2 linked regions of the Caenorhabditis elegans genome follow. The protein of the gene in region 1 purifies or fractionates together with the protein of each later gene. This does not show direct contact. Each region holds a gene or a part of one and is shown on either strand. Other genes may lie near its edges. The genes, in order: dnj-12 and selt-1.1.

Region 1 (4,086 bases):
CACTTGAATCAGACCGGTATGAATTGCGAACACTAATGACAACGTGAGAGCTCCGAGAGTGAAGAGAATCGCATCCCGCATTGGAGGCTCTTCTGGAAGTGATTCCGACGCTTCTTCTGTTGTTTTCGCGGCTTCTTTGTCTGCTTTTGCTTTCGAGATCCGAGATTGCCACATTTTCCGATTCGCTTGTTGTCTTTTGAGCTCATCTTCGCCAAGTGGCAGGTAGATTGATGACACAGTTTCCACGAATCTCACTAAATTCGGACATGCTGAGAGCTGGACTTGAAGACGATCATTTGGCAGTGGAACTCGGAGCAGTGGAGCAAGGTAGCCGAATACCAGGGCATCCAGTGACGTCGGCTTATTTCCACAGAAAAATTTATTATCGCCAAGCTTTGTGGATAGAGTATTCAACGCCATGAATGCTTCTTTCAAAATTTCAGTGTCATTCTTTCCAGCCAACAATCGCAATGCCTTCTTTCGTCGCTTTTCGAGGTAATACAGATTGTAGGGGAAATGCAGATGAGATGCGTACCAATATTGCGTCACTGTATTGTAATTGAGCTCGTCCGTCCAAAATGTGTGCATCTGGAAGGGAAAATTGATTTATTTCAGCTTAATTTTTCTTTAATCTTACCACTGCTGGATACAAATTGTGATGTAAATAACAGGAAAATGCGTCCAACTGTGCTTTCTCAATAGTGGTCAAGTCTGCATCGATAACCACGTCTTGGCCGCACTTTTTCAGAATATCCACAAATTTTTCGAAATCTGTCACTGGTTTTGCTTCTCCTTCGGTTTGAGCGACCATTGGGAGCTCACCGCTCGGCGATCTCCAAGGACGGGTCGATTGGATGACTCTTACTGGGCTGGCACACATTTTAGAGCACGCCTGGAACAGAAATGACGATAATTAACCAAAGTTGACACAAAATCTTACCAAAAACTGCAGAGACACAACGTCAATAGTTGGGAGACCGAAGTCTGACGGCCAAATGTGTAATTCCATTGATATTACAAACAAATTTTGAGCTTGAAATTCCAAATTCGGAAAAAAATCAAGATGGACTAGGAAAAAAATGGAGCCGCTCAGGTGAAACCTCGGTCACGGCCATGCCACTTTTTTGCGGGAATTTTAAATTGGAGTTTTTTTAATGTGTGAATCACGGAAGCTGCGGAAAATTTCGAACAAAGCCTCAATTTTTGCTAATTTCTCGAGTTTTTGAAGAATACGTTTGAAAAAACATCAAAACTGCAGTTCATTCATGAATGAAAAAAAAACAGATTTTTAAAAAGATTTTAAAATTACAGTATCTCCCCAATTGCTATCCTGTATAATAGTTGTTTTGAATGAAAATCTATGTAAGATTTTTTTTAGTTTTCCACAAATAATCGTGCATTTTTAAAATATTTCTCACGAATCAGTTTCCACGAGACAAAAATGTCCCCGCTTGGTGAGTTGCAAGTGCGCTCCACCGATAAAAGTGTCGAGAATGTTCACGAAAAATCGTTAGAACAGTTTTCGCGTTTTCTCCTCTTTTTCGCCCTTTATCTCTTGACTTTCCCCATTTTTGACTTCAAAATCGATTTTATCGTGTTGGATTTACGCAAAACAATTCGCTTTTTGGTATAATTTTCATTCTGACACTCGAAATTCGTCGATAAATGAAGAAAAATTATTATTTTCTTTTTCAGATTCGTATTTATCAAAATGGTGAAGGAAACAGGATATTATGACGTTCTCGGAGTAAAGCCGGATGCTTCAGACAATGAGTTGAAGAAGGCCTACCGTAAAATGGCGCTCAAATTCCATCCAGACAAGAATCCAGACGGAGCTGAGCAATTCAAGCAGATCTCCCAGGTTTGTTACGAAATCCAGCTGCAAAGTTGAAATTACTCATATTGCAGGCATACGAAGTATTATCAGATGAGAAGAAACGTCAGATTTATGATCAGGGTGGAGAAGAAGCACTTCAAGGCGGTGGTGGTGGCGGAGAGGGATTCCACAATCCGTTCGACGTATTCGACATGTTCTTCGGAGGCGGTGGTCGTGGTGGTCGTGGAGAACGTCGAGTAAAACCAACGGTTCACAATTTACGGGTCACACTCGACACACTGTACAAGGGTGTTACGAAAAAGCTGAAAATCTCAAGAACTGCCACTTGTAAAGGATGCAAGGGACTTGGAGGCAACGAGGGATCCGCTAAGGAGTGCTCTGATTGTCGTGGACGTGGAATCAAGGTTCGTGTTATCAGAATGGGACCAATGGTTCAACAAATGCAATCTCACTGCGACAGTTGTAATGGAGAAGGCTCAACATTCCTTGAAAAAGATCGCTGCAAAAAGTGTAACGGAAAGAAGCAGGTTTGACTTTTCTCCAATCGAATTCGAAACTATAATTAGTGATTTCAGGTGAAAGAAGACGAAATTATTGAAGTTGGAATCACGCCTGGCATGAAAGATGGCGAGAAGTTTGTGTTCGAAGGAAAAGGAGACGAAGTGATCGGTATTGAGAAGCCTGGAGACTTTGTAGTTGTGCTCGACGAGGTTGAACACGAGAAATTCGTCCGAAAAGGCGATAATCTGATTATTCAACACAATATCGATCTTTCCGAGGCTCTGTGCGGATTTGTGCGAACAATCAGTACACTTGATGGTCGAACAATTTTCTATCGTGTTCTTCCTGGAGAGGTTATTGCTCATGCCGATGTTAAAGTGATCCACAACGAGGGAATGCCAATGCGTCGAGCATCATCTGATAAAGGAGATCTTCTCGTACAGTTCGATGTGAAATTCCCCGATAAAATTAATCCAGATGCCGCGAAGAAGCTAGCCGATTTACTGCCTGGAAAGAGTTCGTTTTATTGCGTTTACAGTGTGAAATACTAATCATTTTTCTTTCAGGAGAAGAAATCATTGATGAAGACGCGGAAGTCGTTGAGCTGACCGAGTTAGATCCACAAGCATCTCGCAGGAATTTCGCTGAGCGCGACGACTTTGAAGGACACGGTGGATTCGGTGGACATGGACACGGGCCACAAGGCGTTCAATGCCAACAGTCTTGAATTTCACACCAATTTACACTTTTTCTGGTCACTTTCCTTCACTATTTTAGGATTTCAAACTTGGCTCCATTTCTTTCCTACTATCTGCATGGTTTTCATCTTTTAAAAACTCATAAGCCTAATTTCGACGATCTGTGATCTTGAAATTGATTTATTTTTTTGTGTTCCCCGTTCGTTTTACTTTTTATTCCCATCAACTTTAGTTCCTGCTCCATATGGTCTCGTTTCGTCCCCTCTTCATTACTTTTTTTGTTTGATATCGATATCCTACCCACATTCATTTCAGTGTTACGTTTTCCCTTAATTGACTGTCCGTCAGTCTTTTGTGAACAAGGGAGAATAAAAAAATTGATTTATTTTTGCCATTCCTTTCGCCTAAATCCGCCGATCGATGCGCTCACGGCAAGAACGCACGGTGGAAGGGAAAGAAAAGCGAAAAGTAGCCAAAAATGTGCAGGTGGATGCGAATCGTAGATGAAAATTAGAAAGAAAATGCTGGCAATCGTGTGTGACAACGTGGAATATAGAGATCGAGACGGCGACGGGAGATCCACGAGAATTGAGGCGAATTCGATGAGAATAGCGAGTTTTGTGAAGACCAGGCAAACTGTGAAGCCTATTCGGGCCTCCTCACTGATGGATGCACCGCCCGAAACTGATGCTTCCAAATGAGAAGCCTTGAAAAATAGATTTTAGATTTTAAATAATTTTTTTCGAGACTTCCTAACCTGAGAAAATATTGTAATCGTCGACAAGGCGAAATGTCCCATCAAACATTGAAAGTATTTAGTACAGGTGTCCGTTTTCGTGAACATTTCTTAAAGAAGCTTGCGAAAATCGATGAGTTACTCCACTAGCCCACTTCTCCCGTTGCCATGGCGACGTTCCTTCTTTCAATTACATTTTCGAGTGCTTTTTCGCTGTAGACCCTATAGGTTTACATGAAAAATTTTATTTTCTATTCATTTTCCAAAAAAAAAACCCTGAAAATCCCTTTTTTTCCTTCTTTTTCTGTGAAAAA
Region 2 (3,945 bases), on another chromosome or scaffold:
TAAAGCTATGGGCGAGATGTTAATTGAGTGCATTTTAAACTTTTCGGAAAGCAGAATTCTTCCTTATGAGTAAGCACTGCAATTTGCGTTTTCTACCAAGTAGAAATAATTTCAGCTTAAAAGAGTTAATGGACAGAGTTCTTGATGAGTATTTCCCGAGAATACAACAACACATTAATAAGGCTCAGACTTTTGAAAACATTTCTGAGTACTTGACTGAGCCCCAGAAACAGTTTGAACTGTTAGAAAAGACAGCAAAGGTATGCATGCTTATGAAAACTTCAATTTTCACATATTAGATTTTTCAGATTTGAAAAATGTTTCATAAACCCGCATGGTATCCTTGGAGATCCGCAGAGTCGTCATGTGCTCTTCCGCCCGAGTGCGGACAACTGGTATCGTGGAAACGCAATCTCTCAAGTACACAGCTTGATATCAAAAATGGAAACTTCAGTAGACGACGAAGAACTCTTAAAATATTCTAAGCAATTATCCAAGGAGATTGCTTTTGTAAATGTTGCATTCATTTGCGCGAAACATTCCTTAAACGAATTTTTTACTTTGTGATTTGTTTTTAAATAAACAAAACTAATACTCTAGTAAAAAATATTATTTCTGAAAAATTTCAAATGAAAAAACTGGTTTCAAAAATTTGATTCCTTAATGGTAAATAATTATTTAAAAAAAAACAAAACGTAACATTATTTGAATAGAAAATCATTAGAGGTGAAATAAAAGTGGCGAGAATTTTTATGACTGCAAATAATTTACACACGTTGAGAAACAAATAAAAAGTTAATTTAACTTAATAAAATAAGGCGTCGGATGACGAGTGAGGGAATGAATCAGTTTGAGCAGCAAGAATACATTGTAAATAATTATGGTAACACGGTGTCAAATTGAAAACATAGCGTTTTAGACAGTCTGTTGGAACTCTCCAAATGATTCTGTGTTGACAGGAGCTTTTCCGAGCACCGCAAGTTGAGCATCGATAAGTTGCATGAATTCCTGAGGGGATGGTACACGACCTGACTCGATTTTACTCCAGATTTGTTCATTGCCAAGGTAAACTTCGAATGCTCCAGTAGAAATGAGACTTTGTTCAACAAGGTTGCCGAGCATGAACACCAGCATACAGGACGACATCTTGTTTCCGTGTGCGTGCTGCAGAATCTGTGGGTATCCAAGACCAAATCTCTCAAATGGATTTATTCCACCTAGCACCAGCACGAGAACTGCCATTTTGACGAAACTGAGAGCCTAAAAATACATTTTATAAATAATCCAAGTCACTTCAAATTGAACAGTACCTGAGCAACATAAGCTTTCCAAAGAACCGGTGCAAAGTTGGCTCCTTCAATTGGCATATTTGGATACTTTTCTTTGGCAAAAGTGGTGAACTGGTCGAAAGCTTGCTTATAACCACATGAAACACTGAAAAATTATGCATAATTTCTAGTAGAACCTATATATGTATAAATATTACCAGTAGAAAATTCTCAATGTTGGAAGATCCTTGGCGTGGTGGACGGCTGTAGGCTTAACAAATGAGGATTGCTCCCGGACTTCAATATGATCTTCTTCGGTTCCTTGACTGAAAAAATTAAGTTTTGTAGCACTTGTTTGAAAAATTTCAGTTAACCTGTTGGAAACTAATTATCATGAACTTAGAAATTTTATTGAGCACCTTAGAAAGCTTGAAAAATTGAAAACGGTCATGCGTTAGATTTTCACTTTTTTGAAAATAAAATTGATTTTAATTTCACAATTCGACCTTTAAAAAAATAATACCTGAAGCTTTGTGAATCTGTTTCGTCTCCAAATTCTGCTTCAAAATCGTCCTTTTCATGTACGTGGTTCTCATCGTGTGAATGCTCTTCCGCTGAAACAGCTACTTGGGTTGTTTATTTCATTTATGATGTGTCACAACTTACTTCTCAGCACATCACAAACTGACATAAAGAAGAGAACTCCTATGATAAATACCCCAAACCGTGACATCTGAAAAATCAATAATGGCAAAAAAAACATCAAAACACTATAGAGAAGGAAATGAAATTTTTCATCATCTTTTTTGCAACAAAAAAAATTAGATAAAAATGTCAGAGAAGAACACATTTGATGAAGTGTTTTACACTAGAAAAAGCAAAGAAAGCGGACGCGCAGGAGAGTATGATATGACAGAAACACCCTCTCGACACACAAGCGGACAACACAGGGTATTCCAAACGAGCGCGCAGCACCAAGACCACTGCGGAGTCTCAGCGATCAATACTTGACTCGCCCGTAGCAAACGCGCCCCATCACTCGCCAGTGTCTGATGCCTCCGCGCCTCACACACTCTCTCGTTCTCTTTGAACGGTTCTCGGTGTGTGTATGCGTGTGTGTTTGGAGGACGTTGAGTCACCTCATATTCGCACACTCGCATAACCTTTAATTTTATGTGCACAGTCTTCTCTTTCCTTGTTTCTCATTTTAACTCGTTTTTTATTGTTCATTGGATATGATATGGGAGGAGTTGTTTTGATGTGATCAATACGCTACGTTATAGAATTAGTTTCTTTTTGAGATTCTTAATGGATTCTTGGTTTCCGTGAAGGTCAAACAGTCAAACACAAGAAATCGGTTTCCGAGAAAGTGAACTTTGTTGTCGTGCAATTGCAATATCTTATTGAGACTTTTTTACAATGAGTTAATTTCTTATTTTGGTACTTGTGTATTACATACTTTCATTTTAAAATTAATGAAAATGCTCATTGATTTCTCCGTTTAAATTGAACGTGATGTGGAATTTTCCTCGTTTGGCTCAGAAATGCTTATTTTCTAATTGTAAGCTTTAAAATATAAAAAAATTTCCACACTTTTTTATTTTTACAACTTAAAAATTACTTTAAAAATGAGTGCATGTAATACACAAGCAGTGTTTGCAAGTTTAAACTTCCTTTCAAAAAAAAATATGTATATCTTAATAAATGTTTTTCACCCCCAGTGTCTTAGAAAAATGTAATTGACCATTTCTCAAATCTAATGACAAACATCTTGCTTTTGCAATTCATCGTGGATTCTCATTATTTTTGAAAAGCATCTATCTTCTTTTCGTGCTAGCATCTCAATCTCAAAAAGTTACACCACCAACAATACGCATCTCACATTTGCCGAGGTGGAGTGGTGACAAACTAATTGAATCGCATCCGGATTCTTCCACTTCTCACTCCTGAAGGAAAACAAAAAAAAAAGGAACTTGCCCTTCTCATCCATCTTTTCCCCCAACCTAACCCATCTCACCTCAAATGCATTAGTTTTATGGGCTTTTACGACAGATATCAATGACTTGAAGAAGGAGGGGGAGTCACTACGTGTGTATGTGTATGTGTGTGGATGGCCTTTAGACACTAACATCCTCAGATGTTCTAAATTAACCGTCCGTACACTTTGCAATTTCTGGGGTCAGTGCCCACGACGCGTTTCCTCTGGCTCCACAATGACTCATCCGCAGATGTGTGAGGTCTCCCTTTCTCCGAGGTTTTCGTTTTTCAAATGCTCATTTGCATTCAAAACGATTCGTTCTTCACATTTTTCTTTCAATTCTCCAAATTTTCGGTTTTTGTTCCACGCTTTGTCATGTTTCTCTTTCATCACTTTGTTCGCTACCCATTTTAGGATTCTTTCCCCATTATTTTCTATTCTGCGTTTGTATTGTTCTAATGGCTTCATGCCACGTCACGCAACAACATCGTATTTTGCAATGACCCTGGAAAGGGCCTGCTTGGCATGACAGTATTCGGGTGCCAGCAACACCTGTTATCGAAACACTCATTATTTCAACCGATGCCCCCATGAGTCATGGGTATGAAAACGCCCTCTTCTTGAGTATTTCGTTTTGCTTTTTTTAACTTGTCTTCAGAAATACGTTCACCATTAGTGTTATTTCCTAAATTTTCGATT

The links.
Region 2: the proteins of dnj-12 (region 1) and selt-1.1 fractionate together in Caenorhabditis elegans (co-fractionation; one large-scale study listed by BioGRID). This does not show direct contact.

What each region holds. Positions count from the first base shown.
Region 1 is NC_003279.8:14,755,368-14,759,453, forward strand, and holds dnj-12 (DNaJ domain (prokaryotic heat shock protein)), read left to right. Parts: upstream 1-1,695; 5' UTR 1,696-1,711; coding exon 1,712-1,861; intron 1,862-1,908; coding exon 1,909-2,364; intron 2,365-2,412; coding exon 2,413-2,854; intron 2,855-2,904; coding exon 2,905-3,065; 3' UTR 3,066-3,418; downstream 3,419-4,086. Other genes in the region: mtx-1 (Metaxin-1 homolog), read right to left, coding at 1-588, 638-892, 941-1,009; tmem-107 (Transmembrane protein 107), read right to left, coding at 3,419-3,742, 3,794-3,880.
Region 2 is NC_003284.9:11,544,495-11,548,439, forward strand, and holds selt-1.1 (Thioredoxin reductase-like selenoprotein T homolog selt-1.1), read right to left. Parts: upstream 2,002-3,945; coding exon 1,935-2,001; intron 1,892-1,934; coding exon 1,792-1,891; intron 1,595-1,791; coding exon 1,487-1,594; intron 1,435-1,486; coding exon 1,311-1,434; intron 1,261-1,310; coding exon 916-1,260; 3' UTR 597-915; downstream 1-596.